3 linked regions of the Lepisosteus oculatus genome follow. The protein of the gene in region 1 binds, or shares a complex with, the protein of each later gene. Links are inferred from orthologs where the notes say so. Each region holds a gene or a part of one and is shown in the gene's direction. Other genes may lie near its edges. The genes, in order: bnip1a, stx5a and vti1b.

What was found.
Region 2: bnip1a (region 1) and stx5a share a complex: the UniProt entries of both Homo sapiens proteins name them as parts of the SNARE complex. The link is inferred for Lepisosteus oculatus from reciprocal best matches to the Homo sapiens genes BNIP1 and STX5.
Region 3: bnip1a (region 1) and vti1b share a complex: the UniProt entries of both Homo sapiens proteins name them as parts of the SNARE complex. The link is inferred for Lepisosteus oculatus from reciprocal best matches to the Homo sapiens genes BNIP1 and VTI1B.

What each region holds. Positions count from the first base shown.
Region 1 is NC_090706.1:27,785,064-27,796,329, reverse strand, and holds the start of bnip1a (vesicle transport protein SEC20), read left to right. Parts: upstream 1-6,257; 5' UTR 6,258-6,290; coding exon 6,291-6,374; intron 6,375-6,831; coding exon 6,832-6,924; intron 6,925-8,085; coding exon 8,086-8,177; intron 8,178-9,373; coding exon 9,374-9,478; intron 9,479-9,940; coding exon 9,941-10,059; intron 10,060-11,266. UniProt on the Homo sapiens protein: As part of a SNARE complex may be involved in endoplasmic reticulum membranes fusion and be required for the maintenance of endoplasmic reticulum organization. Also plays a role in apoptosis.
Region 2 is NC_090713.1:23,126,965-23,137,926, reverse strand, and holds the start of stx5a (syntaxin-5a), read left to right. Parts: upstream 1-6,854; 5' UTR 6,855-6,942; exon of another isoform or gene 6,943-6,977; intron 6,978-7,566; 5' UTR 7,567-7,664; intron 7,665-8,429; 5' UTR 8,430-8,448; coding exon 8,449-8,643; intron 8,644-8,869; coding exon 8,870-8,940; intron 8,941-9,114; coding exon 9,115-9,170; intron 9,171-9,262; coding exon 9,263-9,333; intron 9,334-9,867; coding exon 9,868-9,984; intron 9,985-10,835; coding exon 10,836-10,892; intron 10,893-10,962. Other genes in the region: vegfba (vascular endothelial growth factor A), read left to right, coding at 340-372, 1,229-1,351, 2,866-2,887. UniProt on the Homo sapiens protein: Mediates endoplasmic reticulum to Golgi transport.
Region 3 is NC_090703.1:26,308,253-26,319,098, forward strand, and holds the start of vti1b (vesicle transport through interaction with t-SNAREs homolog 1B), read left to right. Parts: upstream 1-6,291; 5' UTR 6,292-6,376; intron 6,377-6,896; exon of another isoform or gene 6,897-7,206; 5' UTR 7,207-7,251; coding exon 7,252-7,348; intron 7,349-9,017; coding exon 9,018-9,076; intron 9,077-10,337; coding exon 10,338-10,529; intron 10,530-10,846. Other genes in the region: rdh12 (retinol dehydrogenase 12), read right to left, coding at 1,418-1,485. UniProt on the Homo sapiens protein: V-SNARE that mediates vesicle transport pathways through interactions with t-SNAREs on the target membrane. These interactions are proposed to mediate aspects of the specificity of vesicle trafficking and to promote fusion of the lipid bilayers.

The sequences.
Region 1 (11,266 bases):
CAGGAGAAGTGTATGTGTTTATTTTTTTTTTAATTCTTATTTTGTACTTTTGGCATGCTTACAGTACATTGTCCAGTTTGTAGTGTATATGATAATAATGCTGACAATAAATAGTCTACTGTTGAAGGTGCACTATGCAGATTTTACTCTTGTGAGTAAGGCAGTACATTGCTTTAGTTTTTAACTTTCCATGTGTAGGAAACAGGAGCTTTTACCTGTTTGCTTTACAGACATCAAACCTAGTCCTATGGATATTAGTTTGGTCAATTCTGCAAATGACCAGCAAGGTCAAGAGACTTTGGCAGGTCTGACTAGACTTTAGTGTGTTTATTGAGAACTGAAGGCAACTCAAATTTGTTGGATGGTTTTTTTTCAGTAGATAGCAGTCTCATAATACATGCTTGCAAAATGTCTTAATGATGTTCAGTAAACTTCTGCTTCAAAAGCTTTTTTAACCAGAGGAATGCTGTAGCTGTATTTTGGGGGGTGAGGGGCATTTGTGAACATATGGACTCAAAAATGTGGATTCTGCATTAAACGTTTTATCCATTTTAAAATTACATACACTTCCCAGATTGAACCGCTCTTGTTACAGGAATCGTGTGATAGTACTTACGATGTAGTGTCACCTCTGTCATTTTTTGTCCTTTGTATCTCATCTGTCAGAGGTGTCAGTTTGCCTTAAGAGATACACGAAGACAGAATTTGTTCTCAAAATCAGACAGGTCTTGTGAGCTTTTTCTATAGCAGTGGCTTTGAAAGCAGGTCCTCCTGATAGAAAGTTTTTTCTGAACTCTAAGAATGTATTAGCCTTGACCCCCAGTCCATGTGCCCTTAATTCTGAGTAGGTGTGTTATATAGAGTGGCATTAAAAATACAATAAATTAATATCGTGACCAATACCATTTGTTGCATTTTTAATGGCACTCAGTATATTTCAGGAGATGTAAGTTACAGAATGCACATTCAACGAATATAGAAGGATTAAAGATGGGATATCTGATTTCTGCCAGCACAAGGAGAAGGCCATTTATTTTTTTATTAAATCAATATGAGTCCGTATGCATTGTATTTCTAAATCCACTAATTCAAATTAAAAGTACAAACACAATTTACCAGAATATATCCACTGCATTGCAGTGGGTTTCACAATTCAAACCTATTTTTAATACAACAAATTAATGCCTGCTTTAACAGGTGCCTTACTTAAGAGAGAAAAATGTTCAAGTTTTCTTATTTGATTGTTAAATGTTTGACATAAATATCTGATTTTGTGATTAAGCTGAGTTAGCCCATCATGCCAAGAATTTTGGACAGTTTTGAAGGAGTGTGGTGGCTTTCTGTTGAAATCTGTACTTGGTCTGTTTCAGGTACAGTTTTCACTAAAAGTTGACCCTCCAGCAGAATGTAGTCTTCCGTGAGAGGATTGATACAAATCAAACTAAAAATAGCAAAGATATGTCCAGTTTAACAATGGGTAAAGCAATCCAAAGAGTGCTGAAATTTTGATTCACAATAATTTAAGCATTTTTTTCCTCATTCACGATTTCTGTATGTTCTGTGGTTAACTTATTTTATTTCTGTAAAACTGATATTTTGTATTTCTTTTGTATTTATGGTCTAAATCTGTAATTTATTGCACAAGTTTGAATTTAGATTAAACGTTTTGCCTTTTGAATTCCTCTACCACTTTCTTTTCTCTAGTTTTCTTTTGTTCCCCCTCTTTCTTTCCTAAATCAAGCAAAAAACAAAAACTTGTGTTCTACTTTCCAAAAGGAATGTTAGTAAGGGGATGTGGGACTGGGACAAGCAGGGATGTTGAAATGAAGTCCTAATTTACAGATGCTTTTAAACGTATCAAAAGGAAGGACAAGGCTAAACCTTTCATTTTGTGTCCCTTCAAAAATTAACATATATATGTGCCTACTGACTCTGCATTTGACTTTCAGTAAATACGTTTCCGTATCATTTGCTGTCTACAGTTCAATTTTAAATACAAAAGCACCTGGCCTTTTGCAGCTGTTCACCAGTGAACAATAAAGGTTCAAATGGTAAACGACACAAAACAGGGTAGGCCTGTTGACTTCCGATTGAATCTGTAAATGCTTCTTAAGCAACCCTTTTGGTTCCAGACATGCATGGTCTGTCTTTTCACATTTTCTGCTGTAGAAGTGTTGGGAGGTGTACAGAAACCTCTATTGAAACAGTCAGCATCGATTTATCAGACCGCGAAACCCAAAACCGTGACCTGAACTGACATTTTGAACATTTTTAGTAGTGTTCTGACGTATAAACTATCTTGTCATGAGCACAGCTACGGAAATGAAAAGTTAAATCCGATTAAAATGCAAAGGGCTTCTTTCAGAGTAAATGTACTAGATTAAAAGGTTTTCACTTTACTTTGATGTGAAAGTGCAAGCAGCGCCACATCAGTAAATCAGTGAATATGAGAAGTCATGAATATCCCCAGAAAAGTGTTGCTCAGCAGCTTTCTTGATGAGCATCTTCACAGAAAGTAGGATTTCAAGCTGTGAAGTTCATAAAGCATTAGCATGGTGGTAGATGTGTAAGACCTTAAGCAGCTTGTTGTAAGATGATGTCATATGAATTTAGCCTTTTAATGAGGGTTTAATAAAGACACGTTACACTGAAGAGCTCAGACAGCTGGTTTTGTACTGTGCTTAATCTGATGACGTCCGTTTGGGTCACTCTTGTTGTTTGGCACACATCTGCTTATCAGTAAAGTGTCATCTCTGACCTCTCAGTACCTGACACCAGTGACATTGTACAGGGACCACCATACATGAAACTGAAATAAAAACTCCTCACAATACATGACATTGTATTTCTGTACCCGGCAATGAATTACATTTCCTTCCAAACTTTGAACAAAGGAAAGACTGATATTTAAGAATACAATGAAAGTAAAACCAAATGTCACAAAAAGGCTAAACTTAATTCCATACAACATTTTAAGACAGGCAATTTAAGTAATGTCCTTTTTAAAAATAAAACGAACCATGCCCTCACACAGACGCTTTTAACGTTGTATGGTACGTCACTCCTAGATGAATAGCATGGGGTTTGTTAATAGGTAGTACTGTTGTGTGTACTTCCCAGGTGTAACTTTGTATCTCATTAGGAAGGCTGTACTTCATTGCTAAATGCTCTGTAATAGAACTTTGGTGACATTTTAAGCAAATCTGCAGTTGTGTATCCTGCTGAAACTAACAATAACTTGATCCTACTAGTCATGTCTATATCTGTAGCTCACATATATGCCTGTTGAACACAATATCTAAACAGTTGTTATGTTTATGTTGTTTAATTGTTGTGCTGTTTTTTTTTCTCGAGGCACAGTTATCATTATTAGAGAAAAATCACTGGATAACAAACACCATGTATATGTACAGAAGTAAATTAGACTGAGTTCGATCTTAATCGATTTTTTTAAAGGATCCTTTATATGCGTAATTGTGCCTCTTGGTTTTCTCTTTCTTTATTCTTTTTTTTTTTAATTTCACCGCATTGTATCAGCCCGGAGTTGGTACCACAGTTGCTTGTAACCATGATAGTCTAATTCCATTATTGTTTTTAATACGAAAATAAATGTTAGAAACGATATTGCCGTTTGTGTTTTTACTGCTTTCTTTTAACAGTGTCCGTGCCCTTCCACATTTGAGACTTGTTCTATGTCACAGATCCACCAGTTGTGCGGTTTTAATCCCAGGTTGTGTTTCAAGCTGTTCCTTGCTCTATTGCGTTAAAAGAGGATGTCATGTCTGTCTGCTGACTTGAGTACTTTTCCATGCCTAAGAAAGAGGGACACCTCATTTCAAACCCACATAAATGCCATGAGAAATAATATACTGCACTTGACCATTATCCATCTATCTATTTTCTAACCACTTTATCCAATACTGGGTCACGGGGGAGCTAAAGCCTATCCCAGCAAACAACAGGCACAAGGTAGGATACTTGGATGTATCGCCAGAGACCACTGCAGGGCACGCAAAGGCACAGACTCAATCAAATTTTCCCAGAAGCCAATAACCTACCGGTATCTCTTTGGACTGTAGGCGGAAATCCATGTGAACGTGAGGAGAACATACAAACTCCACACAGACAGTGCCCCAGGAATTGTACCCAGGGTTCCCGGCATAATGAGGTGGCGATGCTAGCCACTGCGCCACTGTGCTGCCCTCGACTCTTATGCTTAACTTAAAAGAAAATATCTGAAAAGTGGCGAAGGCTTAATCAAATTATTATTTGAATATTATAATAAGAGTTATTGTAATAACTATTTTTTGCCTGTTTCTGGCTTGGGAGATTTTTTTTTCAAATTTCTGGAGCACCTTAGCCTGAAGACATTAGATATTCTTAGGAGGAACTGTATCCTTCAGGCAGTTAATACTCTGGCCATTTACTGTAGCTTCTAATTCCCTTTGTGTCTTTTTATGACACACCTTACTAGGACTCAAGTGAGGATTACAAGCTGTGTACAATTTCTGGAAATCGGTTAGTGTCATGCTTCTTTGCACTTCAAAGGAAATGGTGGAGCTTGGAAGGCAGACCTTTTGGCTTCACAAAGAGTGGCGAATGGCTTTTAGCGTTTGCTCGCCCTGTAACTGCTGCAAGGGAGAAATGAAACAGGAAGATCTGCAAGAACAACTACACTGGAAAATAACTTTTAGCTTTTAAAGGAAGAAGATGTGAAGAAGACTTGGAATATTCATAAAAGGAATATCCAAAAAAAGGAATCTCACATGGGATAAGGGATAAGTGACCAAGTCATCTTGTTGACAGACCATTCCAGTGCTGTAGCAGAATAAGCTGCTGTGTGGGGAAATATCAAGTTTTGATTTACTAACATTAGGGCCTATCGTCTCTTTATACAATTCCGTTTGTGAAATGTAATGGTGGGCAGCCACACCATCACCCGGCTCTTTACTGTAAGGTGAACAGGACACGGCAAAAACAGAGCAATTCAAGGCATTGATCTTTAAGGAATTAGAAAGATCAACTTTTCCTTTTCATGCTAGAGAATTATTAAAACAAAGAAGTGTCCATAGATGCATCGCAGACATGTGTACTGTATGTTTAAACATATACAACATATATTGCTGTTAGTTCAAACATTTATTCAGCTTTCAGAGGCATCCTGGGAACCAGAAACAGCTTTATGCGAAATAAAACTGAATACAAGTGGCTGGTTTGAAAGGGAGCTGGGCTAACCCCAACCACTGAGGTAAGCCGGCGCCAGCAGGAGAATAGGAGAAAGATTAATCAGATGACTTTTGTTTTGGAGGATTAGGGCGCCTGTTTCTGAGCTCAGAACGCAGCCTCCCTCCTCTGTCCTTCTCTGCCCACACCACATATCTGCTCTGGTGCTGGGGATTCAGCCAGTGTCACTTCCTCAATACTTACTGGTCACCTCTGCAGAAGATGTGACATCATTTTCCTTGAAACCAGCGCCCCAGTTTAGAGAGGGCTGGGGATGAAGGATGTGGCCGGTGGTTTTCTTACCTAATAGAAATACTTTATTGTTAACTTAGCTGACGTCCTTATCTGAGGCAATTTAGAATACTTAAAAATTCTACGTTAAGTTGAAGTACAAGGACAGCGAACATGCAAGCACAGTAAAATTAATAAGATTATGTGAAAAAGTCTAGGTTCAATACGGGTGCTGTACAAAACAATGATATAGTACTAAAATATATAGTATTTCACATATTATATCACTCAAGACATAATCCAAGAAGAACTAAGGATTTGCAAGTATGTGTAGAACTACACAATACATGCCAGCACTATGCATAGAGAGGAAAAATAGGCTTGCATTCTAACTGTGCTACTCTTAAGAAAACTTACAGCACTATTCAAGACATATAAACTGTCCCCAAAAAGAAAATATGCTTTATCTGGGAGCATGAATGCAGAAGAAGTTGTCATATGGAATTATGAAACACGGGTAATTAAAGTCACCGTTTCCTAGCAACAAAACGTGGGCATAATTCCCTGGCAGACTGTAATGGCTTTAAAACACGTTTAAAGGCATGGCACAGCATCATCTTTGTGAACAAAGTTGGAGGTACACTGCAACTGGAAGTAAAGTGTGGTATGCAAATCCAATTAAACAACGTTGTTTTTACTCTTCAGTTCACAAAGCGCTAATGTATTGCAACAGAAGAGAAATGGTTGTTTCCCTTAGCACGTCAAGGAAAGGAGGGGAAAAAGGCGTTTAGTTTGCCGCAATGAGCCTCGTGAGGCCCCGTAGTCTGCGTTCAAAGATGGCTTCCTCGCCGGATGTCCACGTCCGTATTTGTGGACAAGAAATAATCAAATATGATTTGGAAATAAAAGCCCTCATTCAGGTGAGAACGATAAATATATTTTATAATTATATATAAATATATATTTTAAATGGTGCTTCGAATCAGATTGTTTACATCTATTTATTTTACTTGAAAAAGGTTGAGATCCCTTCACACGTAACCGGCAAATGTAGTTCTACTTAGCTAGCTCTTGCAAGACGGGGTCAAGTAATAATATGACGAACTATCAATGAATTATTATTAAACATTGACTATATATTAAGTAGTTTCCACAATTAAAATCTAATCTCATTAAAATATTTTGAATATAAAATTAATTTGGAAATAACCCTATTTTTTCAGTTTTAAAAAATCATACATTGGCCAATATTGGAATATTTGGTTATTAGCCCCCTATTGAGGAATGTGTGTTGCACTCAGACACAATAAAGCATAACCGTTTACTGTGTTATTATACTTTTATTTGTGAGCTTCTTGCCTTTTTTTTTTGCTTAAGGATATTAGAGAATGTCCGGGACCACAGAGCAAGCTGACGGACTTAAACTCTCAAGTAAAACAGAAATTCAATCATCTGAGAATGAGGATACAGGTGAGTAAAAACCTTATACGTGAAAGTGTATTCAAATAACACAGCATGCTATCACTACGTATTTGTTTTAACGACTAACTAAGTTGATGTCTGTATCCGTACTTCTGTGGCACAGTTTTACCAGTGAGTCATTTAATACGCCTCTGAGCTCTGGTAAGATTTATTTCATATAGTGACCTGTCTTTGCTGTTTTTTTATTCAAAGCTCATTCATATTCTGACTTGGATGCTGCTATTGTACCCTTAAGCAACGTATTTAGACTACTACAGTACATACCCTGCTGGATAAATAAAAGAAGTTACAAATGAGAGGAAGTTATTTGGCCCACCCAGGGCCAATGGACACAATGTATCAGCTTCAGCAATATAGCAGGGCAGCTTGTTCCACACTCCCACCACCCTCTGTGTAAAGATGAGCCTTCTGTTCTCATTTTGATTTAATCTTTAAATGGGTCTTCTATAGACCTAACATGGTCAAATTAATTAACAAATGGCGATTGATCATTTTGAGGCTATATCGAGCCTACGACCTATACAAATCTACTAGGTTTATATCAGTAATTATCTACAGGTTTGCTACTGGCTTATGGTTAATTTGCATTAATTTCCTGTTTGGATATATGTTCTATGTTTTCAGCTTAAAGACAAATTCCCATAGGGTCAATAAAGGTTAAAAGGGTAAATGAATGACATCATGGTGGATATCAGCCCAGTTTCAGAACTCACAAGTAACGCAGAATTAACTAAAATGATCCCTGTGAGAAAGTATGATAAACTGTCGTTCTCTTCTGGGTTTACATTGACCACATTCAAAACTGAGTGTACAGAAACCAAAATGCAAGCAGTTTAGACTTAAAGGCATCAATTAGTGCTGCTGATTACAGCGCTCACTTAGATAAAAAAACTAGTCGATAGAGTGTTAGGGTTAGGAACCTCTGTTTTTTAAGATGAGTGGTACAAGAAGATGTGATTTTAGTGTATAAATACACATGTCGTGAAGATGGAGATGGTGCATGGCTCTGAGCATCAAAGCATCAGGCTTTGAAACAGCTTTTTTATCATCAGAGTTTTGGGGTTCTCACAGCTGCATAATGGATTTCCCCTCCCTGAATTCCAGCCTTTTCTTGTCAGCGCTGGTGTATCGTTGTCCATGTTTTCGTAGGATCTGGCGGAACTGGCTAAGGAGCAGGATAAGGAATCGGACAAGCTGGCCATACTGAACGAAATGGAGGGACATCGGAAACAGATGCTGAGGTGAGGTGGGAAGAGATTTTTAGAAAATGAAAAGTTGATCAGGGTATGCTAAGGCAGTGTTTCCCAATTCCAGTCCATTCCTGCCTTTTTTCAGTTTTTGTTTTTTAAATTTTTTCTGTCAATGAAATTTCAGCTCATGAATACTAAATCAGAATACTAAATAAGAAATCAGCATTTACCCTACACCAGAAACTTTTCCTTTGTTGTTTCATATGAGAAATCAAACAGGGGGTCTATACATCAGCGAGAATGTATATAATGCTAGTGTTTTACATTCTTTCCCATCTGTGTATGAACATCATTAAAACACCTTAGTTTTATAGAAAGCTATGTTGAAATGAATTTGAAAAAGTGGCCTTTTTCCAGCATTTCTTGGAAATGGTGCATACGAAGATGTTCTGCGTGTCCAAGCCCTGATGCAGATTCTCAGTCCTAAATTAGGATTTAAAATAATCCTGAGTGCAGAGAACCTTTGGAAGTCAAACACGGTGGTTAAATTAAGAGTTTCATAAAGCTGATTAGTCAGGAGCCCAGTTCTGATAAAACTGGAAGACATCTGGAAGGTAGGACTGCTACACATCTTAGTGCTATTTGCTCTCTATTTGAGAGAATAACTAGCTCTGTATAGGAGCCCAGTTTTTTCAATCTTGAACACAGCAGATTACAAGGAACTTGCTAGACAAAAGTTAGATAAAACTGGTATTCATTGGATTATTTTTAATAATGCAATAAGGGTCCAGAAACAATTGGAAATTAAGAGAGTATATTAGGACTGAGAATGGGATGCATTTTTTACACAAAAAGAAGTGGGTGTCCAAACTAAGCTCAAGTTATGTTTTCCATCCTTTAAGACATAACTGGGATCTTAGGGTCAAATAACTACCTGTACTAAGTGATGTAGCGCAAAATATTATGTACCTTGAGACTTGCCAGTTTTTATCAGGTGTGTGACATCACAGTTATTGGAAATATCGCATATCCATAACTTGGTTTCTTTAAGCTTATCCCAGGGCATAAAATAAAATTCACTGACATTTAAAATGAGTTTTAAAAGGATTGTAAGCTGCTCAGTTGTTAAATAACCTTCTAGCAGTGTTGATTTAGTGAGTACTACAGGTACTAATACAAAACCGAGGAAGAGCTTTTTTTTGTTCTTTTTTTTCTTTCATTCTTTCATTGAATCTTTTATATTTTAGTAATCAGACTGCATGGAGAAAGGCTAACTTGGCCTGCAAACTAGCCATTGATAACTGGGAGAAGGATGAGCTGCTACAGGGAAGGGATTCTTCAGTGAGGCAAAGGTAGGAATTACTTGATTGTGTAAAGAACCCTGGACAAAGATATATTCGACCCTAACGGATAGAGGCACTGTGTCCTGTTGAGAATGGTCATCTAATCATGAAATGCTGATCCAGGAATAAAAGCTCATACACCAAAAACCGCAGTTCATCAAAAACCACAGCGGTGCTAAAACCTTTCATTCACATTTGAAATATGTGTGGGACACACTCAAATAGACATTTCCATACAAAAATTTAGAATGTGCTTAAAAATCGAATATTTCCAGCAATACATAATTATATCTATGCATAGTTAATATCGTTATTTACTAGCATCCAAATGAGCTAGATGGCTCAAAAGGCCCCCTTTTACTTGTGACTTCTGCTCTCATATAAATAAAGGGTTACATCTTTGTATATAGAGCTGTACACTGTGGATTCCCAGTATTTGAACTGTTTCTGTTCCATCGTTTCTGTCCTTAGAAAGACAACCAAAGAGAGCCTTGCCCAGACCTCCAGTGACATCACGGAGAGCCTCATGAGTATCAGCAGGCTGATGTCCCAGCAGGTCCAGCAGAGCGAGGAGACTATAAGCACCCTGGGTGAGTGAGAGCCCCCTGTTTCCCCACCGCTGTCCTTACACAGCACCTGTCCAGCTACCGGTTACACATTCCTGACCATCAAGGTGTGGTATTGTGCTGTGGTGATAGCCCTGCCTTCTTTTACTTTTTGTAGAGTGACGACGCACAACTCACAGAGCAGAGCAGTCTTTGTTGTTCAGTGTACCTCAGTGTATGAGGGTCTATCCAGCATGACAGATACAGGAATACCAGAGTCTATTGCATCTTTGGTCAATGGCTGTGACACAGTTTGCAGTTATACAAACTATAACCAGACAGTGGAGCCACATTGTTATAGATGGCTTTGCTCAGTCTTTATGAGTGGCAATCTGCAGATGGACCATTATTGAATAAAGGCGATCACAAAGTTTAGTGTTATGCTATCATTGACAGTTTTGTGCTTGAATATGAAAGTGTGCAGCTGGAAATTATCTGTATTCTATTCTTCTATACCTTCATCTGACACAGGTATAAGTGGAGACTGTAAGGCCATTGACTCACTAGGAAAAAAGCTGTTGATTAACAGGCTGCTGCATTGGTGAATTGAGAAATTAAAGGGCCGATCTCTCTAGGTAGAGAAAATCTTGGAAATACTTTACTGTATCATGGAAAAAAATATACAGATTTTACAGGTTTCACATGCCTTTTTTTTTCTTCTCTAAAGTTGTTGTGTTAGATAACATTGAGCATTCCTAACAGCACTGTCCTTTATGGTAAATTGTGGTAACCTGGTGGGCCTAAAAAAAGGAACAAGAAATTGTCCTGAGTTTATTCGGTGTGGACTTTAACAATGTTTTGCACCCTGCCTGTTTTCAACTGCAGCAGAATTGCCCAATTCAGTTATAGATCAACCTAAAGCTGAAGATTATTAAGAATTCATTTTGCTCGTAAAAAATGTTTCAGTAAGCATTTGTTCTGAACAGTATGAGGCAGGAGTATTTCTCAAAGGAACAACGGTTGTGTTGTTTGTGTCATGGGATTTGAACCCACAACCTTCCAGTCCAAAGTCCTGCCAGTGCTCACACTGCTGCTTCATGTCTAATGTTCTAATACCTATCATTATAAGTTCTTATTTCCATCACGTGATCAAAGAAATGCAAAGCAGCCAAATACAACTTTAAGATGGATAAATTGGGCTGCATAAAACATTTGTTGTCATTTTTTATTGTTTATGTTTGTCAATATCCTC
Region 2 (10,962 bases), on another chromosome or scaffold:
ACAGTCCAGTCTGGGTCACACCGTACCCCTACAGTCCAGTCTGGGTCACACCGTACCCCTACAGTCCAGTCTGGGTCACCCTGTACCCCTACAGTCCAGTCTGGGTCACACTGTACCCCTACAGTCCAGTCTGGGTCACACCGTACCCCTACAGTCCAGTCTGGGTCACCCTGTACCCCTACAGTCCAGTCTGGTGCACCTCTGAGCTTGCCATGCTGTCCACATGAGCTGTTCTTGTCGTCCTCCTGGTGGTGCAGCAGTCACTGAACTGTTAGCAGAAATACAGTTCACTGTCAAACAGCTGCTCATGCTGTGTCTTCTTCTCTGTTTCCATTACAGACTGAAAAAAGCCGTGCATTTAGTCCCACTGAGGTATGTGTCTGATCCACACTATCGTCTCTTACACTGCTCATAGAGCGCAGAAGCAGTCTATGGGCTCTACAGCTTCTCTGTAGCTGTTCTACAGATCTGACGATGAGGACGGACAGGTGATGTGAGCTCTGTTCTCTCCTGGGCCCTGTGACAGGCCTGTCTGTCGCTCTCTGGGCGCCCTCCTCCCTGCATGGTGCCTTTCAAAGGTTCACTGGAGCTGTGGCACCTGGGAAATGGTATCAGTTGAAGTCCTGGTTTTTTCCAACAGACAGCAGCAGATTAAATTCCTCTTCTCTCAAGCAGAGAGGCCTTCTTGTACATCAGTCCTGTGTGACCCATCAGCCTCTCCCAAATTTCCAGGACAGCTTCCCAGAGTCCTGCTGCTCTGGAATTGAGTGGAAACATCTTATCAAGGAGCAAAGCAGGCTGGGAATTTACAGTACCATCTGTGGTTGAATCAGAGGTCCAGATCCTTCATCTCTGAGAGCCTGAAAGCTCTGTAACCCCTTACCCCTGCCAGACAGGGGCTGATCTAAGTGCTGTAATTCAGAAAAGTATCTGTTAAGAATGCTGAAGGCAGGAACCAGGACAGGCCACCGGGCTGCCAGTGCTCAGCTTGTACTAGCTCTTGCACAAAGAGGACCTATGAATAGAAAATGTTATTCTAACAAATGAAATGAAATTGAACACTCCAGTCCTGTCTGCTCAGACAGCCTCAGTCTGAGTACCAGCACTGTAAGCCCTGGAGCGGATCAGGCTGCTGCGCACTGGGAGTCTGATCGGTTCCCCTGAAGGCTGCAGTTGCTAGACGGGAGCCTGTCCCCCTGTGTCAAGCAGTGACCTCTCTGCCCTGCAGGCAGTGCCAGCCCTGTGTGGGCCGCCGCAGGGTACTGGACCCGGGCACCTGTGAGTGCCGCTGCAGCGCCACGGCCCGGAGCTGCCAGCTGAAGGGCAGGACCCTGAACCGGCACGCCTGCAGGTGAGGGGCTCCACCTGTGGGGACAGAGGGGTACCGCAGCAGCGCGGTCGGCCTGTGTGAGTCGCCTTCGCCTTCTCATTCTTGGGGCTCAGACTGCGCCCATTCGCTCCAGCCCAGACCCCTCCAGACCCCTCCAGCCCAGACCCCTCCAGACCCCTCCAGACCCCCACATATGCCTCCAGACCCCTCCAGACCCCTCCAGCCCAGACCCCTCCAGACCCCCACATATGCCTCCAGACCCCTCCAGACCCCCCCAGACCCCTCAGACCCCCCCAGACTCCTCCAGACCCCCCCAAACTCCTCCAGACCCCCCCAGACCCCTCCAGACCCCTCAGACCCCTCCAGACCCCTCAGACCCCCCCAGACCCCTCAGACCCCCCCAGACCCCCCCAAACTCCTCCAGACTCCTCCAGACTCCACCAGACCCCTCAGACCCCCCCAGACCCCTCCAGACCCCCCCAGACCCCTCAGACCCCCCCAGACTCCTCCAGACCCCCCCAAACTCCTCCAGACTCCTCCAGACTCCACCAGACCCCTCAGACCCCCCCAGACCCCTCCAGACCCCTCAGACCCCCCCAGACCCCTCCAGACCCCCCCAGACCCCTCAGACCCCTCCAGACCCCCCCAGACCCCTCAGACCCCTCAGACCCCCCTCAGACCCCCCTCAGACCCCCCCCAGACCCCTCAGACCCCTCAGACCCCTCAGACCCCTCCAGACCCCTTAGACCCCTCAGACCCCCCTCAGACCCCCCCCAGACCCCTCCAGACCCCTCAGACCCCCCCCCAGACCCCTCCAGACCCCTCCAGACCCCCCCAGACCCCTCAGACCCCCCCCCAGACCCCTCCAGACCCCTCAGACCCCTCCAGACCCCCCCAGACCCCTCAGACCCCTCCAGACCCCTCAGACCCCTCAGACCCCTCCAGACCCCTCAGACCCCTCCAGACCCCCCCAGACCCCTCCAGACCCCTCAGACCCCTCCAGACCCCTCAGACCCCTCAGACCCCTCCAGACCCCTCCAGACCCCTCAGACCCCTCCAGACCCCCCCAGACCCCTCAGACCCCTCCAGACCCCTCCAGACCCCCCCAGACCCCTCAGACCCCTCAGACCCCTCCAGACCCCTCCAGACCCCCTCAGACCCCTCCAGACCCCTCAGACCCCTCAGACCCCCCCCAGACCCCTCCAGACCCCCCCAAACTCCTCCAGACTCCACCAGACCCCTCAGACCCCTCCAGACCCCCTCAGACCCCTCCAGACCCCTCAGACCCCTCCAGACTCCACCAGACCCCTCAGACCCCCCCAGACCCCTCAGACCCCTCCAGACCCCTCCAGACTCCACCAGACCCCTCAGACCCCCTCAGACCCCCTCAGACCCCCTCAGACCCCCTCAGACCCCTCCAGACCCCTCCAGACCCCCTCAGACCCCTCAGACCCCTGTGCTCCTGCTGATCAGGGGCAGGACTTCTTCTCCCTGCTGCCTGTCGCCCTGACGCCCAGGTGCTGTCTGTGTTCCAGATGTGAGCCCCGGAGGCGGTGATGCCCGGCGACAGGGCTGCTGCTGCGGGACGGCCGTCCTGGGGCCCCTCCTGGAGCAACACCAGAGAAACAAGCCCCCTGCTTCTACAGCCAGGGAGGGGACTGACACCACAACACACAACACACACAACACACACTCGCACACTTCAGACCAGCTAAGGACTGGAAAGACACATTTGAATGATGTCAATGAACAGAACAAACAAAAAATACGCTTCTTTTTTTCCTAAGGAAATGAATCTATATGTATGTATATCTATCTATAAATGTGTCCATCATCATCAGTGTCTTTGTACTGCAGTGTCTCTGATTGGCCTTCATCTGGCCCTCGAGGAGACTGTAGCTGCCCAGCCTCATGCCTGCGCGCCTGCGCTGAGGGCAGGGCTGTCCAATCCCCCCTGACAGGCAGCGGTGCCCCCAAAACGAGTGGGGGCAGCTCAGGCAGCGCTCGGCATGCTGCTTCCTTAACGTGCCTTCTGATGACCCTCCGTCTCGGAGACGGGCTCCACAATGCCCAGGCTCCGCCCGGCTCGGACCTGCGGACTGCAGAAGTACAGCTCACGTGACGCCAGCACATGTAAATACACTCAGTAAAGAAGGCAGAGAAGTCCTTATTATCATGAAATATGCACTGAAACGTTTATTTATGTGAAAATAAAATATGGACATATTTATTTCTTATTTGTTTTATTTTAATCTATGTTGGGCTTATCGTGTTTTATCTATCAGTCTGGGTCACCCTGTACCCCTACAGTCTGGAGATCAGTGGTCCAGTCTGGGTCACACTGTACCCCTACAGTCCAGAGATCACTGGTCCACTCTGGGTCACACTGTATCCCTACAGTCCGGTCTGGGTCACACTGCACCCCTGCAGTCCAGAGATCACTGGTCCAGTCTGGGTCACACTGTACCCCTACAGTCCAGTCTGGGTCACCCTGTACCCCTACAGTCCAGAGATCACCAGTCCAGTCTGGGTCACACTGTATCCCTACAGTCCAGTCTGGGTCACACTGCACCCCTGCAGTCCAGAGATCACTGGTCCAGTCTGGGTCACACTGTACCCCTACAGTCCAGTCTGGGTCACCCTGTACCCCTACAGTCCAGAGATCGCCGGTCCAGTCTGGGTCACACTGTACCCCACCAGTCCAGTCTGGGTCACACTGCACCCCTGCAGTCCAGAGATCACTGGTCCAGTCTGGGTCACACTGTACCCCTGCAGTCCAGAGATCACTGTCCAGTCTGGGTCACACTGTACCCCTACAGTCCAGAGATCACTGTCCAGTCTGGGTCACACTGTACCCCTACAGTCCAGTCTGGGTCACACTGTACCCCTACAGTCCAGAGATCACTGTCCAGTCTGGGTCACACTGCACCCCTGCAGTCCAGAGATTGCCGGTCCAGTGTCAGAGTCACCTTGATCTCGGAGACAGGGAGAGAAGAAACTGTTCTGTCACACTAGGACTGAGTGCAATATGTGTATCTTAATACTATTAGAATTGTCTACATTTGTCTTATTATTTGTTCTTGTTTCCCAATGCTGGGGGCGCCGGTGCTCCCCAGAGTGATTTCATGAACAGAGCGGAATGAGCTCTTCATTTATGGAAAATTGTTGTGCAACTGTGACGATGCCAACCAGGCCGAAGGGAAAGTTGGGGATGAGAAGTGGGATTTCTCCAGAGCAGCTCTGGTTCCCTGTGCTGGCTCGGTCTCTCCCAGCAGCGCACACACACACACACACACACACACACACACACACACACACACACACACACACACACACACGACACCCCTGCCCACCTGGAGCGGATCAGACTGCTGCGCACTGGGAGTCTGACTGACAGCACTGTCACACCTGGAGCGGATCAGACTGCTGCGCACTGGGAGTCTGACTGACAGCACTGTCACACCTGGAGCGGATCAGACTGCTGCACACTGGGAGTCTGACAGCACTGTCACACCTGGAGCGGATCAGACTGCTGGTTTTTGCCATGTAATCGGTCAGACTCCTGACTCCAGACCCCTGCGGTGACAGTTCAGACTTGCCCCAGCCTGTATCTGCCTGTTGCTGTGCCTCCTGTCCAGCTGTGAGTTCCCACGCGTCTCTCTGTGCTGTGTGTGTAGTAAAGCTCTCAATATTGATGAAAGTATATATATATATTCTGCTAAAGATAGTACTACAACAATGTTAACAATATATGTCACATATAAGCTATTAAAGGAAATCTTATTTTTTAAATGAGGTGTTTCCGAGTGGTCTTTCAACTTTATCCCGTTTATTTTGGCTTGTTTCTGGATTAATTTCTTCTATTTGCATATTGATCCATTTTTTAAATGTTAGAATATCTAACAAGACTGGACCTGAACCACCGGACCGGCTGTCCTCCCGGTCTGACACCTGAGCCCTGCAGCAGACAGCAGACAGCAGACAGCAGACAGCTGTGTGTTTGTCATAATCAGAAACCTCAGCACTTCCTGCACTAATGAAAGAAAAACAGTGCGTTGGGGGGGCTGGACGGTGGGGGGAGCCTGATTGCCGCTGGGAGACAATAATATTTACAGACTCGCTGTCCTGGGAGCCGAGAGTCCTGACGAGGGGAGAGGCAGCCAGGAGTTACAGTCTGGTCCGCAGCAGCAGGGGGAGACAGGGCAGAGGGCAGGGCCAGGTCTCTCTCACTCCCTCCCCTGCGGTTTTCAGCCAGTGTCAGACACGGGGGTCCGGCGGTCGTGTTGTGTTTTAATTTAACATGAACTTGGAGCAGGGAGGTGAAAGGTCAAGGGTCATGTGCTCCCCTCCTGCTCCTGCTGCAGGGCAATAAGCGCCCCTTGAGGACACAGCTGGGTGTCTCCCGGGACAGGAGACACTGACTCCTCGTGGGGACACGCCCCTCGTCCACGAGCTGCTGGAGGTGATGAGGAAGCTGAGAGTCCGTAACTGCAGGCGCGGGTCTGTCTGCACTGCCCCCTGCTGCTCGCCGCCAGCACTGCGCTGTCCGAGGAGCCTGGCCACAGGGACAGAGGGGACTCCAGTCTGCAGGGGCGATCTGCACAACAGGTGTGGTGTGTGTGTCAGTGTGGTGTGTGATAAAGGGACAGGGAGAGAGACAGATGGAGGGACAGGGAGACAGACAGATGAAGGGACAGGGAGAGAGACCGGATGGCTCTTGTCTGACCTCCCTGATCCTCTGAGCAGCCTCTTCTAATGCAGTCCGACAGCGCCATCTAGTGGATTCTTTCGGAGCAGGTCTGTTCACACCTTTCGAGAAACTACACGTTGGTTGTCTGTGTGGTGTTTGTGTGTTTGTGTGTGTGCCTTCACCGGTGAGTCTGAGGGTCCTGTCTCCCCAGCCAGTGTCTCTCTGCACATCAGCGCTTACTGACACCATCTCATTGCACAAACGACAAACTGGACTGGACCGACCCTTCGCCTTCCTCCTACTGCACTCGGCCTTCTCGTCCAGGGGCTCCGCAGGCAGGGAAAGGCCACAACACATTCTACACAACACGAGCTCCTTAACAAACACGGATACTGTATATAAATAGAGCACACATCCAGCCAGCTGTCCACTCTGAGCAGGCCAGGAGCTGGGGGAATGGACGGCGACTCAGTCCTACTGCTCCTGAGTCTTGGAAGGAGATGGAAGAGCTCGGATCACCGTGCGACGGGTGATCATGGCAGTCAGGGATCATACTGTGTGATCGAGCGTGATGTCCGGCAGTTGTAGCTGTTGTGCACCAGTCATTGTGCTGGCTACCTGCACCCTCTCGCTCAGTCCGTTTTTATTACGAGCATCAAGGTTAACCAAACCAGTCTCCACACTCAATCCACGAAAGTGAATGGTCTAATTCTGCTCTAAGAGAGAAACAGGAACCGTGACGCCGCACCTGTCCTGGCCGCGCCCCCCGGCGCGATGACGTCAGGCCGGGAGGAGGGGCACGCCCGCTGGTAGACGTGGCGCTGTGACGTCAGCGGCCGGGGAGTGACCCGGATTGAAACGCAGCGGCGGAGGGAGACGGAGCGGCGCGGCGGCGGAACCGGAGAGAGACGCGGACATACCGGTGAGGAGAGAGAGGAGGCCTGTGGCGAACCGCCGGTGCGCACCTCCCCAGCTGGGGGCACGGGTGCCGGGGGAGGTCGGGTTTCCCCGACACCCGTTCCTTTGTGTTTTTAAAATGTCGAGTTATTTATCCGGGAAGGGTAGATGGGGCTTTTAACAGTCTGAAAGTGACCCGCAGTTGCTCTGTCCGTCACTGTCGGCGGTTCGGGGGGGCTGGAGTTTTCTCGGTTATAATGCGCGACCTGTTTCAGTGCAGATTGGAGTGTGTGGTGTGGGGTTTTATTTTAATAGTAGCCTTAAAGACCGCTTGAAGCTGCTGTCGGAGACATCTGAAGTTGTTGTTGACGTCTCAGGCGGCCAATGAGGGCCCCCGGGTAGTTTGATTGACGCGAGTCGCTGCCAACCGCCGCTCGCTGAGGTTACAGCTGGTCGGCGGGGAGTGGCAGCGGGGACAGCCAATAGGGGTCCCGGCGTGATTGCGAGGGGGTAGTGGCCCGTTCGCTGAACCAATAGCGTAGAGCGTTGTCCACAGGGGGCGGTGATGAGCGTGTTGGTGGGCCAATCCGCCGTGGGAAGAGGCGGGGCGCTGGTTGTGCTGACTGAGTCTATCCTCTCATTTCAACAGAAACCGAAAATTTTGGAGTCGGTCCTGAGACAAGATAACAACCCCCCAGCTCGGTGAAATCTAAATCTTAACGCTTATCGAGCCGATAACACAGAAAGGTCAATTGTGATTCTTTGTACACTTTATTCTCTTAAACCTTTTTATTTAAAAATGCTTATTTTATTTATTTCAGCAAAACAGCTGTTCAGCAACTGGTTCATACAGTCCAGTAGGACAGTCTGGTACACTGGGGCTCCAGTCCAGTAGGACAGTCTGGTACACTGGGGCTCCAGTCCAGTAGGACAGTCTGTTACACTGGGGGCTCCAGTCCAGTAGGACAGTCTGTTACACTGGGGGCTCCAGTCCAGTAGGACAGTCCTGTTACACTGGGGGCTCCAGTCCAGTAGGACAGTCCTGTTACACTGGGGGCTCCAGTCCAGTAGGACAGTCCTGTTACACTGGGGGCTCCAGTCCAGTAGGACAGTCCTGTTACACTGGGGGCTCCAGTCCAGTAGGACAGTCCTGTTACACTGGGGGCTCCAGTCCAGTAGGACAGTCTGTTACACTGGGGGCTCCAGTCCAGTAGGACAGTCCGTTACACTGGGGGCTCCAGTCCAGTAGGACAGTCCTGTTACACTGGGGGCTCCAGTCCCGGTCCAGTAGAACAGAGTTCTAGTTATAGTGGGAGGGCTTGTGTCTGTCCAGGTGTCCTTCAGTCTTGTTGGGGACTGTTCCTGTGTTGCTGCAGCAGGGTTGAGGTAGAGGCTGCTGGCGCCAGCCTCCTCCCAGCGCAGAGGGGACCGGTCCCGCTGTCCGGCGCGGGGTGTGGGGCCTGTCCAGTCCTGTCCAGTCCACTGACCCCCGGTTGTCCTCCTGTCCGGCAGGTGATGCTTCGGAGCCTCAATGTATACGAGACGCCGTCACGGTTCTAGAAGCACAGAGCAGGGCGTGTATCTCGGACCCTCCCAGACGCAAGCGCAGGACTGCCCCCCCCCTGCCGGGCCCCCCCCCCTCCCCGTCGCCACCGACAACGCCATGTCCGGCCGGGACCGCACCCAGGAGTTCCTCTCCGCCTGCAAGTCGCTGCAGGGCAGACAGGTACTGGGGAGAGGAGAGGGAGGTGGGGGAGACAGGAGAGAAGAGGAGGAGGGAGGCGGGGGAGGGAGAGGAAGGGCTGAAGATGTGAGGGTTGAGGGGGAGGATGGAGGAGGGAGAGAGGGCAATAGGAGAGGTATAGAGGGTTGATCAGTGGGGTGAGGGAGAGGAGGAGGAGGAGGAGGAGGAGGAGGAAGAGGAGGCTCATTCTGTGTCTCTGCTCTGCCAGAATGGAGTCCAGGTCCACAAGCCGGCTCTCAGCGCGGTCAAGCAACGCAGCGACTTCACCATCATGGCCAAGTGAGTCCCCTGCTCTCCAGCTCGCTGACCGCCGCCTTTCACGCGTCTCCACCTTGTCACGCGGATCTCGGCCATCCGGACACTGTAAACCCAGGCGTCAGTGACAGGCTGGACACGCGGGGCTGACCGCTGACCGCTGACCTCTGCTCCCTGTTCTTTGTCTCTCGCCCACAGGAGGATTGGGAAGGACTTGAGCAACACTTTTGCCAAACTGGAGAAACTGACGATACGTAAGCACACTTTCCCCGCTGTGCTGTGGTGGGTGAGCTTGCGAGGGCGGTGGTGCGTGCCGGTCATGTGACGCGTCTCTGGGGTTTTGCAGTTGCCAAGAGGAAGTCGCTGTTCGATGACAAGGCCGTGGAGATCGAGGAGCTCACCTACATCATCAAGCAGGCAAGTGGCTGAGCAGATGTATTACTTACTGAGCTCGGAGCTGACTGGGTCGGGGGATACCGTGTCTGGAATGGGCTCGGAGCTGACTGGGTCGGGGGAGACGGTGTCTGGAATGGGCTCGGATCTGACTGGGTCGGGGGATACGGTGTCTGGAATGGGCTCGGAGCTGACTGGGCCGGGGGAGACCGTGTCTGGAATGGGCTCGGAGCTGACTGGGCCGGGGGAGACCGTGTCTGGAATGGGCTCGGAGCTGACTGGGCCGGGGGAGACCGTGTCTGGAATGGGCTCGGAGCTGACTGGGTCGGGGGAGACCGTGTCTGGAATGGGCTCGGAGCTGACTGGGCCGGGGGATACGGTGTCTGGAATGGGCTCGGAGCTGACTGGGTCGGGGGAGACGGTGTCTGGAATGGGCTCGGAGCTGACTGGGCCGGGGGATACCGTGTCTGGAATGGGCTCGGAGCTGACTGGGCCGGGGGATACCGTGTCTGGAATGGGCTCGGAGCTGACTGTCATGGTCTCTGTTTCCTTGTGCAGGACATCAACAGCCTGAACAAGCAGATTGCCCAGCTGCAGGACCTGGTCCGGTCGCGGGGCGGCCAGTCCGGCCGGCACATCCAGACACATTCCAACACCATCGTGGTGTCGCTGCAGGTCAGTCCGGCCCGCCGGCCCACAGGTCCTCCGCGGGGAGGGAGAGAGGCCGTGTCCCACCCGCCGCACTGCCTGCGGGCCTGCGCGGGCGAGGGTTCGAGGGGCACCCTCGTGTGACGTCGCTCGCTGGCTCCGGGTCTGAGTGCCATCTGCTGTTACTGCCTCCCCTCCAGTGGCTCAGTGCACGTCTGCAGGGAATTATTTTAAAAGGCCACTGGGTGCCGTCTGGTCTGTCCCTGCGCACAAGCGGCGAGGCAGCATGTTCCTTCACGCTGAGCAGGCCCGGCTGAGGAAAACTTGGCAACAGATTGCTTAATCAGAGTCTTGCGCCGCTAAATCCGTTTCATCTCGTCTGTCCCAGCACAAAAACGGCAGTGGGAGGAAGGTAACGCCTCTATTCACATGACCAGGTTTGTTCCAAAGTGGTCAAAGTCGGTTAAATAAGGTAAACTTGGCAGTACGTGAGAGCTTTGCACTGTTGAATACTGAATATTTAGTACTTGCGTCTCTCAGCGTACAAAACACACCGCCTGTCGGCGAATATTCATGAGTCAGAATGAGGCGATGACAGAAAAGCTTTATGTCAACGTTTTGTGCCTCCGCTGGATCTGAAGCGGCCTCATACAAACCAGTGGACGTAAAATCTGATGAGTTGTTAAACTCAGCGAGGAGGGGGGGGTGATCCCCCTCAGCCCAGTCCGCTGGGCGCGTGGGGGCGCTCGTGAGCCCCCCGGTGAAACGCAGGTTAGAAACGGGATGCCCCGAGCCCCAGCGAGACCGCGGACGAGGATGCTGGGACACAGCAGGAGACCAATGCTCACTCTTCTCTTCTCTCGCTCTCGCTCCTGCAGTCCAAGCTGGCCACGATGTCCAACGACTTCAAGTCGGTCCTGGAGGTGAGAACAGAGGTGAGTGTTGTCCTGGAGGGAGGACTCGGGTCCGAGTCCACAGCGCAGCTTTCGGGGGGCTGTACTGGGA
Region 3 (10,846 bases), on another chromosome or scaffold:
TGTCCATTACACAAGTTACACTGTATACATATCTGGAATTATACATAGATTCTAACCTGTATTGAAAGGCACATGTTGACATTCTTTGTAATAAAGTATAAAAGATAATTTACTCTTTTTGAATGTTATGGGTTTTTGGAGATGATTGTCATATCTTGTTCATGTTTTTCAGTTCTGTAATATAAAAGTTTAATACAGTATGGAATAACTATCTGGTATAACTGTTTTCTGTGCAACAAAGAGAGACCCAAATGCTTGAGGATGTATGAATTTAGCGAGGCTGCCACTTGAGCAAAGCTTTCAAACTGCTTATATTAAGAGTGTGTTGGGACTGGGACTCATTTTCTGTATGAGAAATATTAACTTGTCTTCAACCTGACGTTTATGTAAGTCCTTCTATGTAGACCTAATAAACTAAAGAGTTATATCCCATACTCAAAGTTCTTAACCAAAAGCTGAGTTCACAATAATGGGCAAGAGTTATCAGTGAAACTTGCAAGAGTTAAAGCCATAAGTCAACCACTACGTGGTGAACAGCTAATTGTCCTTTCAACAGTCTCTATATGGTCGTGGGTGGCAACTGTCATCTGTAGACACAGGATACGAAGTTACCAAAGCGCAGATCATCAATCAAAAAATGCTGTGTGCAAATGAACTGAAGAAGCCTGACCACTAGGATAAAGTGTTCCACATTGTCAATGTTAATTATTCATCATGTGGTCCATCTTTAACCTGCCCTAAACCGATAGGGTTTCCCGGTTAAAAACGAACTCTGCTCACTGCGAAACAAGTATGACTACTTCTCAATTTTAGATGCTGTATTCCTTTATTAATCCGCCAAACAAAATTACCGGCGATTACTAATACGACAGGCCGTTTAACAGGTATTCCAATCATACGGTTTACAATATATGTGCATGTATTTGCTTATTTATTTTCGCAAAAAACTGTTGAAGACGCCAGAACAGAGGTGTAGTGCACAATAATTTCAACTCTATTGAAATAATTATAGTAAAGATACCGTATCATTAGACAATACATCCAGGTGGATGCTGCACATTGGTGGTGGTGGAGGGGAGCTTTGAGTGGAGTGTCCGGAAAAGCGCTATATAAGTGTAAGCAATTATTATTATTATTATTATTATTATTATTATTACTACTACTACATTGTAAAATTAGACAAGACCTTGCATCGTAAATGATACACAATACTGAAGTGTCAGGACAGCTGAATTTGGCTATTTAGGTGCTTTCTAAAGCATTTACAGAAATAATTTTGGTGACAGTTTTTTCAGTTGTCCAACCTAATTAAAACATATATGGTACATATCACAAATGAGAAATCAATGTTATCCACCCATCTGTTGGGAAAATCACGACTCCGAATTAAAACTCTGCAAAAAAGACACTCGTTTACCTGATGTAACCCCTTAATAAGTACCAGAGGACTCCGATGACACCTAGAATTGCAATTAATGTCAACATTGTAACCTTCCCCCTTCACCTACATGTATCTCTTCTTCTCTTCACGCTCGCTACTCTTGCTCTTTGCTCAGCTGTACGTTACTGTAATAGCTGAAGGACTTTTTACTTTGATTGAGTAGCGTGAATTTAGCGACATTAAGCGGCGCTGGCTTGTCAGCACCTTTCAAAATAAAAGTCCCATAAAACCTGCCTCATAAAAAATAATCCTGGGCCAGTTAAAGTCACATTTATAGTCACAACAACAATTTGTTCATCCTCAAAACTAGGTGGAATGTGATAAATAGACCCACAGGTAATAAGGAATTGCCGTTCTTCATTAATTTTTTTGCTCTCTTGCAATCTTATTGGTGTTTTTATAACACTTTCTCCTTGCAAATTGACACAGAGCTGTGCATTGCTAGACATGGAAAAGTATAATTCCTGACAAAAAAAACTGTGCCTCTCCAAAAGTAGTTCCAATCTATTCTACAGACCCTCAGCTAATAGAAAATCACCATGGTTTTCTCAGATAAGCACCTCTGTCAAAACTGCTGGGGTTTATAGAGCACCTCCAATTCCCAGATTGGGACAGTGCAGCGATGGGCACTCTCCAAAAATACCTCAAATCTACTCTACAGACCCTCAGCTAATAGTACATAACCGAGGTTTTGTCATTATATGTGTCTTTGCTAAAGTTGCTGGGGTTTAGAAGACCACTTGCTGTTCCCAGACTGGAACCGTGCAGTGATGGACAGGGAGTGGTCTCATTCCCCTCCCGACCAAATAAAAATTTGTTCCTCTCCAAAAGTGACTTAGATCTGTTCTACAGATCCTCAGCTAATAGTACTATAGTACTCAGCTAATGGTTTTGCCAGATGAGCGTCCTTTGCCAATGTTGCTGGGGTTTATAGGGGTCTTTTAGTGGCCGATACTAGATTTGTCTCGAAGGGCATGATATCACAATGTGGGCATTGTTAACACTTCACCAGTGGATTATCCTTTCTGGTTTGAAATAAAGTGTCAATTTCACACTTTTTTCCTTACTGTCTATGGGATAATTGTTTGGAGTGTAAATGTAAGACATATTATCAAACTTTGGTATTCTGCTTTATTAAATTTATTAGAGTGTATTGAAACAGCCAAAATATTGAATAGACCTTCAATGGTGATGTATCTTTCCTGGGAAGGTGGCTCTGCCACAGACATGGTATGGAGCCTTTTTGATTTGATCCAGTAATGTGGAAACGGTGGCTCACATGTTGCCCAAGTACTAGTTGTTAATTGATTCCCCCCATGCGTTCCGAAAGACTGGGAAGTAAAGATGCCTTGTAAGTGTTCTGTATTAAAACACTACAGATTTTCTCTTAAATTACATCAGCTTTTATTATTTTGAGTGTAGAACTACTCAGACAGCATTCAAATGCTGCTTCAGCTGTCTGGCCTATTATCCTTTGGACACATAAATTCTCCACAGCACAGGGGGGAGGAAAAACCTCATTGAACTGCAAGAAACCCTCCGGGGTTCAATTTTGGATGATAGAATCTAATATTAGAGAATTTCTCACGAAACTTCTATGTCAATTTTACCTGGTTCGGCATCTACACGTATTTTTGGAAATCTGAATAGCTTTAGATCCCAGAAGGGTCTTGAAAGTCTTGTGTATTGTTACAGGTAAGGCTGTCTGTTTCTTTGTCACTGATTGCAAGCTATTCAAAGACTCTTTCAGTGCCTCTTTACTATGCAGTAGAGTTGATATGTAACTGTTCAGTGGCTCCAGGTTTTTTTGTGTTTCATGAGTATTGGCATTCTCAACAGTGAGTACATGGTTTGACCAATATATGTCTCTGTCTGATGCCTCCCTTATTTCTAGAAAACAAACACAATAATTAGTTTGGTCTATGCTATGTGTTGGCTGTGTTGTGATGTATTGATCATTTGCTTTAATTCTAAATTTCTGTCCAATGCACAAAAGTACCGCCCAATGATGTCCACCTCTGTTTATAGACTTTCCTTCATGGCATATTGTTGATTTAATTGTACATTGCACTTTACCAACACTTTCCAATTCCAACTGCAGTTCGCAGTGGAATGTGCTCTGGGAATCTGAATCACAATAGTTTGTGGACAAGAGCTAAATTGTTGCTTCCAGACCACTGTTTGCTAACACTTTGAGCAATTCTGTGTGACTATGTTCTCTAGCAAAGACTTGTGTATGAGGGTCGATTAACTCATGAAAAACTCAGCTATCTGTGCAAGCAAAAAATGACTGACTTCACGTCTTTCGGTATGCAGGAAACTACAGTTCTAGCAAAAGTCTACATGGGAAGTAATACTGTTTACTTGGCCACAAACAAACCAGGACATAAGGGGAATTATTAAATTGGCTGGGTAAATTTCTCTCTTGAAATCTACTGAAGATATTACTTCACATATCTCATCTAACACTGGCTTTGAAAAGTAGCTGCTAAGGTTGTTGATGGAAGGTTTGACCAAATTCAGTAAACAGCCAGGCATAATCTTAAAACCTTTAGAAAATAATTTAATATTTGTTTTGGTCTGCATTGCATTCATGTTACTAACACGCTACATGACAAAATTTAACCAGCACTTGTTTTTGAGAATGTAATGATAGGTGGCTTGTTGTAATCATTTGGATGACCATAAATTTTGCATGTATCATTTAGACTAAAAATGTCTGATTGTCTTGATAGGGGGTTTTTGGAATGAATGCCTGAGATGTTGTGGAATTTTCTTGTTCCATTCCTCCTCTTCCACAAGGGCAGGAGACTTACTTATTCTAGAAAAATTCAGTCTTATCTTATCACAAAATTCCCTTTAATTTCCTTTGTAAAGAGTTCCTAACCTTTCCACACATTCATTTTGAGCTTTACCTCAGAAATTGATGTAGTCCATCCATCTTGCTGAAATCTACCCATTAGTATGTCTGTCCAAATTGAGATTGACGACAGGATTTTTTTTTTTCCAAAACAAGTTTTGAACCAAAATAGTCATTGGGCTCTTTGTTCTCCTGTCTGTTTATATCTGTCATTGCCTTAATGTACATTTTTTTAAATCGTGAATAAATGGAGAATTCACATTCTCTATGCATCCAAAATCAACATCTGAGTCCTCAGCACCTGTAACAGTGGGGACACTGCTAGTGTTCAGTTGTGACACTAGACTTCTGAGATTGGAAATAGACTGTGTGACAAGTGTGTTATTTTATCTACTACCCATGAAAATGCAGGTATCATAAATATGAGCAGAGAGATCTTCTAATCCCACTGAATTAATTATGACACTGAAGATATACATGCCGACTCTGCAAAATTTCCTTGGTTATTTTAGCTGGTTTTGGAAAATTACCACTGTGCTCGTGTTTTAATTTCCGGGGTTTCTCATAACACCTACCATGTAGATTCATACCATCAACATCACTTCTGCACATACTGTGCATTTTACTTTTTGAGGGAATTACATGAGGAACAATTTCCTTGGGTGACGGATGCACTACATGCAATACTACTTTCCACTTCTGTGTCACCATTTAGCTCGACCTCCCTATCCTGGGAAACCATCTGTTTATTGTCTGTCTTACCACAATAAGCCCCCCAAATGAGATAATCCAGCGCTGTTTGAGCACCAATGCTGACGTGATACATCAATTTTACTTTTTTTTGGTTACATCTAACTTATTATGTATTACACTGCTGATTGCTTCACATTTGTTCAAGAAACTGAACCCAGTTTTTAATGCCGTGGCTTTAACATCACAATTTTCTGAGCAACACAGAAACCCTACAGAATCAATATCTTTGTCATTCTGTCTCATACCTATACAAACAAAATTAATCCACTCATTGCAAGCGTCACACTCCACCTTTGTGTTTTTTACCTGTTGGATGATTTACAGATGCATTACAGTTTTTGCCTTTTCAAAACAGTGCCAGTCATCCACTCTATGTCTAAGAACCTTTTTATATTGTATGGTTACTCCGTGTCACAGCTATGGTTTTGGTCACAATACTATGATCTTCAGTGTCAGCATTACTTTGGTTGGGATCACGGTTATTGTTTACACTTTTCCCTGTCCATCACTGCACAGTCCCAGTCTGGGAACAGCAAGCGGTCCTATAAACCCCAGTAACATTAGCAAAAACACTTATCTGAAAAAAACACAGTTATTTTCTATTAGCCGTGGGTCTGTAGAATAGATCTGAGGTATTTTTGAAGAGGTCCCAGTCTGGGAATGGGAGGTGCTCTATAAACCCCAGCAGTTTTGACAGAGCCACTTATCTGACAAAAAAAGGGTGATTTGCTATTGTCTGACTGTCTTAAAATTGTATGTTTCACCACTTTTGATGGTGCAAAAAAAATGTTTTTGCCCTTGATTATAGTCTAAAAAACTGAATTAAAATATAATAAATGATTTGATTTAATTAGAAATTTCAGATACAGCTCCTTTAAAAGCTTGCATCTTAAAACCTTTTTCATTGGACAGGAAAAAAACATGTCTATGAAAAGAATATAACAATGACAATTTTTACAGTACTATAAATGGAAGAAAGGTGCTGTAAAATTAATAAAAACTTCTAATAATCTTAGATTTGTCAAACTTGGAGATTAGTGGATACGATTTAAAATTAAAAAGGACCCTCTCAAATTTTGGCAGAATGTTCAAGGAATTACAGTTACCCACGAAGAAATAACAAAGCAGGTGTTTCAGCTTAATGTTGCTATACTCCTCATACTATACTCCTGTGGTAGCTGAAGGCTTTTATTTTGATTGAAATTCGGCTATTTACATACACTTCCGGATCATTCGCGTCGCTTAAAATAACTAGCTTCCTAGTCTCATAAGCTTTCAAAATAAAAGTTCTAAAAAATGTCTGGGAAAAAAATCCTCAACAGGTAAAGTTATATTTCTGATAAACGTTACATATTTACACTATATGTGCTCTGCTTTAAACCTCGTCTAATAGTATCAGGCTACGTTTCTTTGAAAAATATTAACTCTTAAGTGCTGTAGTCTTTGCGGTAGCATACAAAGAGTTATTCTACTCGAGTTATTCTACTACTTGCTTTTAAGTTTAAAGTCTACAAGGTTGATAGCTGGCATAGTTTTGGGTGCACAAAACTGTAACTACCCGAGAGAATCTTAAAGATGTTCCATTTAAAATAAAAGTATACGTAAATATACTTGTATACGAATCTTTTAATTTGTCTTGAAAGGCGGCTTTCTAGAGGACGATTACTGAGATTTTTGGGACACTATAGGTTTGTTGAAACGTTTACTGTTCTAAAAGATCATTTAGATATGTCATTTAGATAAATCAATTAATATGATACCCACTCAAAACAACAAAAAACTTATTTTTTTTTAGAAAGCATACTGTAATATTTGCAGATAAAACAATTTAAAGGGTCACTAATCATGTGAAGCTCATTCCCACACATTCCGAGTACTACATTGTCCATAAAGCTTTGCTCTTTAGTTTTCCTTGGTAGAAGCCTTTATAAAATACACATTTGAGAGGGAAACTTCAAGTCTTGTAATTAAAAAAATAGTTAAGATAATGTCATGTTTTATAACGTAGCATATATGGCGTTATTATTGTACCTATTCTTCTTATAATGTTAATCCCTTCAAAACAGGCAACGAAAAGTGGTCTAAAATGCAAGGACCATTACCAGGAGTCCCGATAATCTTTTGTTTTCACGTACTTATATTTGACTTGTAGGTGAATTACGCGGTTGGTTCCTTGAAACAAAACACAAATACTGAAATGTCTTCCGAAGAGTTTGAAAAGTTGCATGAGTTTTATAAATCCCTTTTCGAAGAGCTAAAAGTGATGCCAGACCGAGTGTCCCGATGTTATGGAGGTAAGTAGAAAGGCTTCGAAAGTCGAACTGGAATTTCAATCAATAAAATACCAGAAATTCATTGGAATTATAATATATATAATATTAATTGGAAATACTTCACATTCGATAAATATTCCGATGGAAAACCTAACACAATATATTAACGAGACATTTTAAAACGTTACCTCAATTCAACGTTTGGGATTTCTAGCTCCTTAGTGAAATATAAATGTCAGAAGTCTATATTATCATTATTGCTGCTGACAGTCGGTGTCGTGAGATGAATACAGGCTCCAGGAAGGTACTAGGAATAACTGAGCTGTTACCTTGATTCTGTTATCACTGAAGAGGCACAGAATGGCTTACGAATGTGTCTGTGCAAGTAGAGCGCAGAATTCGCTCTAAATATTCAAGTAAATTTATATTCAATATTAAAAAAATAAAGATCGACAAAGCAACGTAGGAAATGCACAATTCTAATAAATGCAATAAAATGCAAAACTTTCGTACAGTTTGTAGAACGGCAACATACAAAACAAGAGACTTATAAAGTGCAGTGCAAACGTTACAAATTATAAAACATTTATCCAAAACGTCCTGGAACAAAAATTCTTTGACGTTTTCTTCTTTTAGAGAAGCCCTGAACTCGGAAAACCTCATGAAATTGTAATGATATCAGAATTTTAATTTCATTCCCATTTTGGTTCCGTTCATTCCGAGAGACAAGTTTGGTAGTAAGGACTTGCTCCTGATGGTGCTGCCTTCATCTGGATTGATACTTAAAACTCACATAAGGTTGCATTCTTTGCTGATAATGCAGTATATGACTTATTTGGACATAAAAGTGTCATGGGTGGAACAGGCGGTTTAGGCCAGACCTCTGATGAGAAACAGAAAATGTACAGAGGAATTTTAAATTGTTCAGGATAACCCATCTATAGCAACCAACTTCACTGTTTTAAACCACTGTCACCAATTTCATATAAAACACAAGAACCTCAAAGAATATGTGGTCCACATTTTGTTCTTTCTTTTGAACGTTTTTAAAACATTACTTGTAATAGGTGTAACATTTAGGAAATTGTCTTGCAGTGCAATGGCCCTCGTGTGCTATCTGTGTGGAGTTTGTATGTTCTCTTCGTGTTCGTGTCTGTTATCTGTGGGAGCTCCAGTTTCCTCCCGCAGTCCAAAAACTCACTAGTAGATTAATTGGCACCTGGTAAAATTGGCTTAAGCTCCCCAGCAGCCCTGTATTGGATGAAGCAGTAAGATAATGGATGAATGGGATTTAACTTCTGAAAATAGTATTTTGAATCAAATGCTTTTTGTAAATCTTGTGTACAACATAACTTTCCTTTTCAGTGCTTATCTATACAAGTTTTAACATAAAACCTCTTTACTGCCTCTTTGGTGCCTGCTTAAAGTTCTACAACTTGCTTTAGAATATGAAAGAAATGTTACTTAGGGAAGAACAGGACACTTTGGAACCAGCAGTAATGTGTTATATTATACTTATTTAATATTTTATACGTAAGGGATGGTGAGGTAGTGAATACAGCACTAAATCCCTAGCTGGGGTCACAAGAGATGTTCTAGCGAGCAAGCATTTTTTAAATATAGGTATGCCAGTGCATGCAACTTGAACCTTTTTGCTATGAGCACAACTCTAAAACCTTTCTTCTTTCAGAGGAAAGGAAGCGGCATGTGAGAGTTTTTGATGAAAAAGTAGGAGAGGCAGAGGAAATGGTAAGGAAAGGATAAGGTGGGATTTTCATTCTTAAATGTTTGTGCTCTACAGGGTTTTAAGGCTGTCCGGGGAGATCTTGATTGTCAGCTAGATCCATAAGTTCTATAATTTACTCAGTCACCATATCAACTAATTGAACAGTTGAAGAGCTGCTTTTACATTTGGCTTGTATCTGACTTCCCCTGTAACCAAATAAATCAAATGTGCTGGACCAGTCCTTTGCTAATTCCATGTTTGAATTTAGCCCAGTGGCTTTTAGACCCCCCCCCCCCCCCATGTTTGTTGACCTTTGTTGCAGATTTGTGAAACATTTCATATCTGTCCTTGCCAAGCAACACTTACTTATTTGTAGTAGTATTTTCCTGTATGTATCTACCTACAGTGGTGCTAGAAAGTTTGTAAACCCTTTAGAGTTTTCTGAATTTTTGCATGAATTTGACCTAAAATGTGATCAGATCTTCATCTAAGTAAAAAAAAATAGATAAAGAGAACCCAGTAAAACAAGTAACACACAAAATGATGTATGTTTTTATTCATTTATTGATCAAAATGATTTTTGTTGGAAAAAGTATGTGAACCTCTAATATTACCTGTTCAGGTAAGGGGATAATTTAGATTCAGGAGTGTCAATCTATGGAATGACAATCAGGTGTGAGTTTGGGGGGCCCTGCCCTGTTTAAAAAACATAAACCTGAGCCTTCACCACCAAAGTCTGGTCTTCACCACACAGGTTTGTGAACACATGCCATGTCTCGATCAAAGGAGATTTCTGAGGATCTCAGAAAAAGAGTTGTGGATGCTCATCAGGCTGGAAAAGGTTCCAAAACAATTTCTAAAGACTTTACCAATCCACTGTCAGGCAGATAGTGTACAAATGGAGAAAATTCAACACCATTGTTATTCTCCCCAGGAGTGATTGTCCAACAAAAATCAATCCAAGAGCAAGGTGTGTAATATTCCACGAGACCACAAAGAACCCAAGGGTAACGTCTAAGGATCTACAGGCCTCTTTTGCACTGGCTAATGTCAGTGTTCACCATCAGACAAACAGTGAACAAGAAGAGTGTGCATGGGAGGATAGTAAGGAGGAAGCTACCACTCTCCAAGAAGAACATTGCAGCGGGGTGTTCATGCAAGAAAGCCCACCAACATCACTGAGTTGAAGCAGTGCTGTAAGGAAGAATGGGTCAAAGTAAAAAAAAAATACTACACTTTTGATTTCTGTGTTTGTAAAGTAACATTTTTTAAATGTACTTGCAGCTCCAGGAGATGGAGAAAGAACTGATTGGAGCTCCTCCTTCCTTTCAAAACCCAATGACCACTAAGATCCGCATTTACAGGCGGGATCTGGGGAAGCTGCAGCGTGAGATGAAGAGCTCAGACCTGGGTTTGGGGTTTGGGGTTCGAGGAGAGGGCAGATATGGAGTTTTTGCTGCTGAGAATGAGCAAAGTGTAAGTCTAGCATAGCTGTCCTGGAGAGGAGTTAACTCCAGTACGAAAGCCTGAAAGTTCTGTCTCAACTTTTTCTTTCTTCTGTATGTAACATAGATATTCACCTTTCTAGACTATCTGATAACGGATTTTATACCTGTTCAATTTAGGATTTTATTGTATTATTATTATTATTATTATTATTATTATTTGAAATGTACAAGAATGAAATTCATTCTTAACACTCTTTTCATCCTGCAGGAACTAGTTACTGTTTGCAAAGTTTAGAGAATAGCTCTCACATGTGTCACATTTTGTCCATTTAAATGAGAGACAAA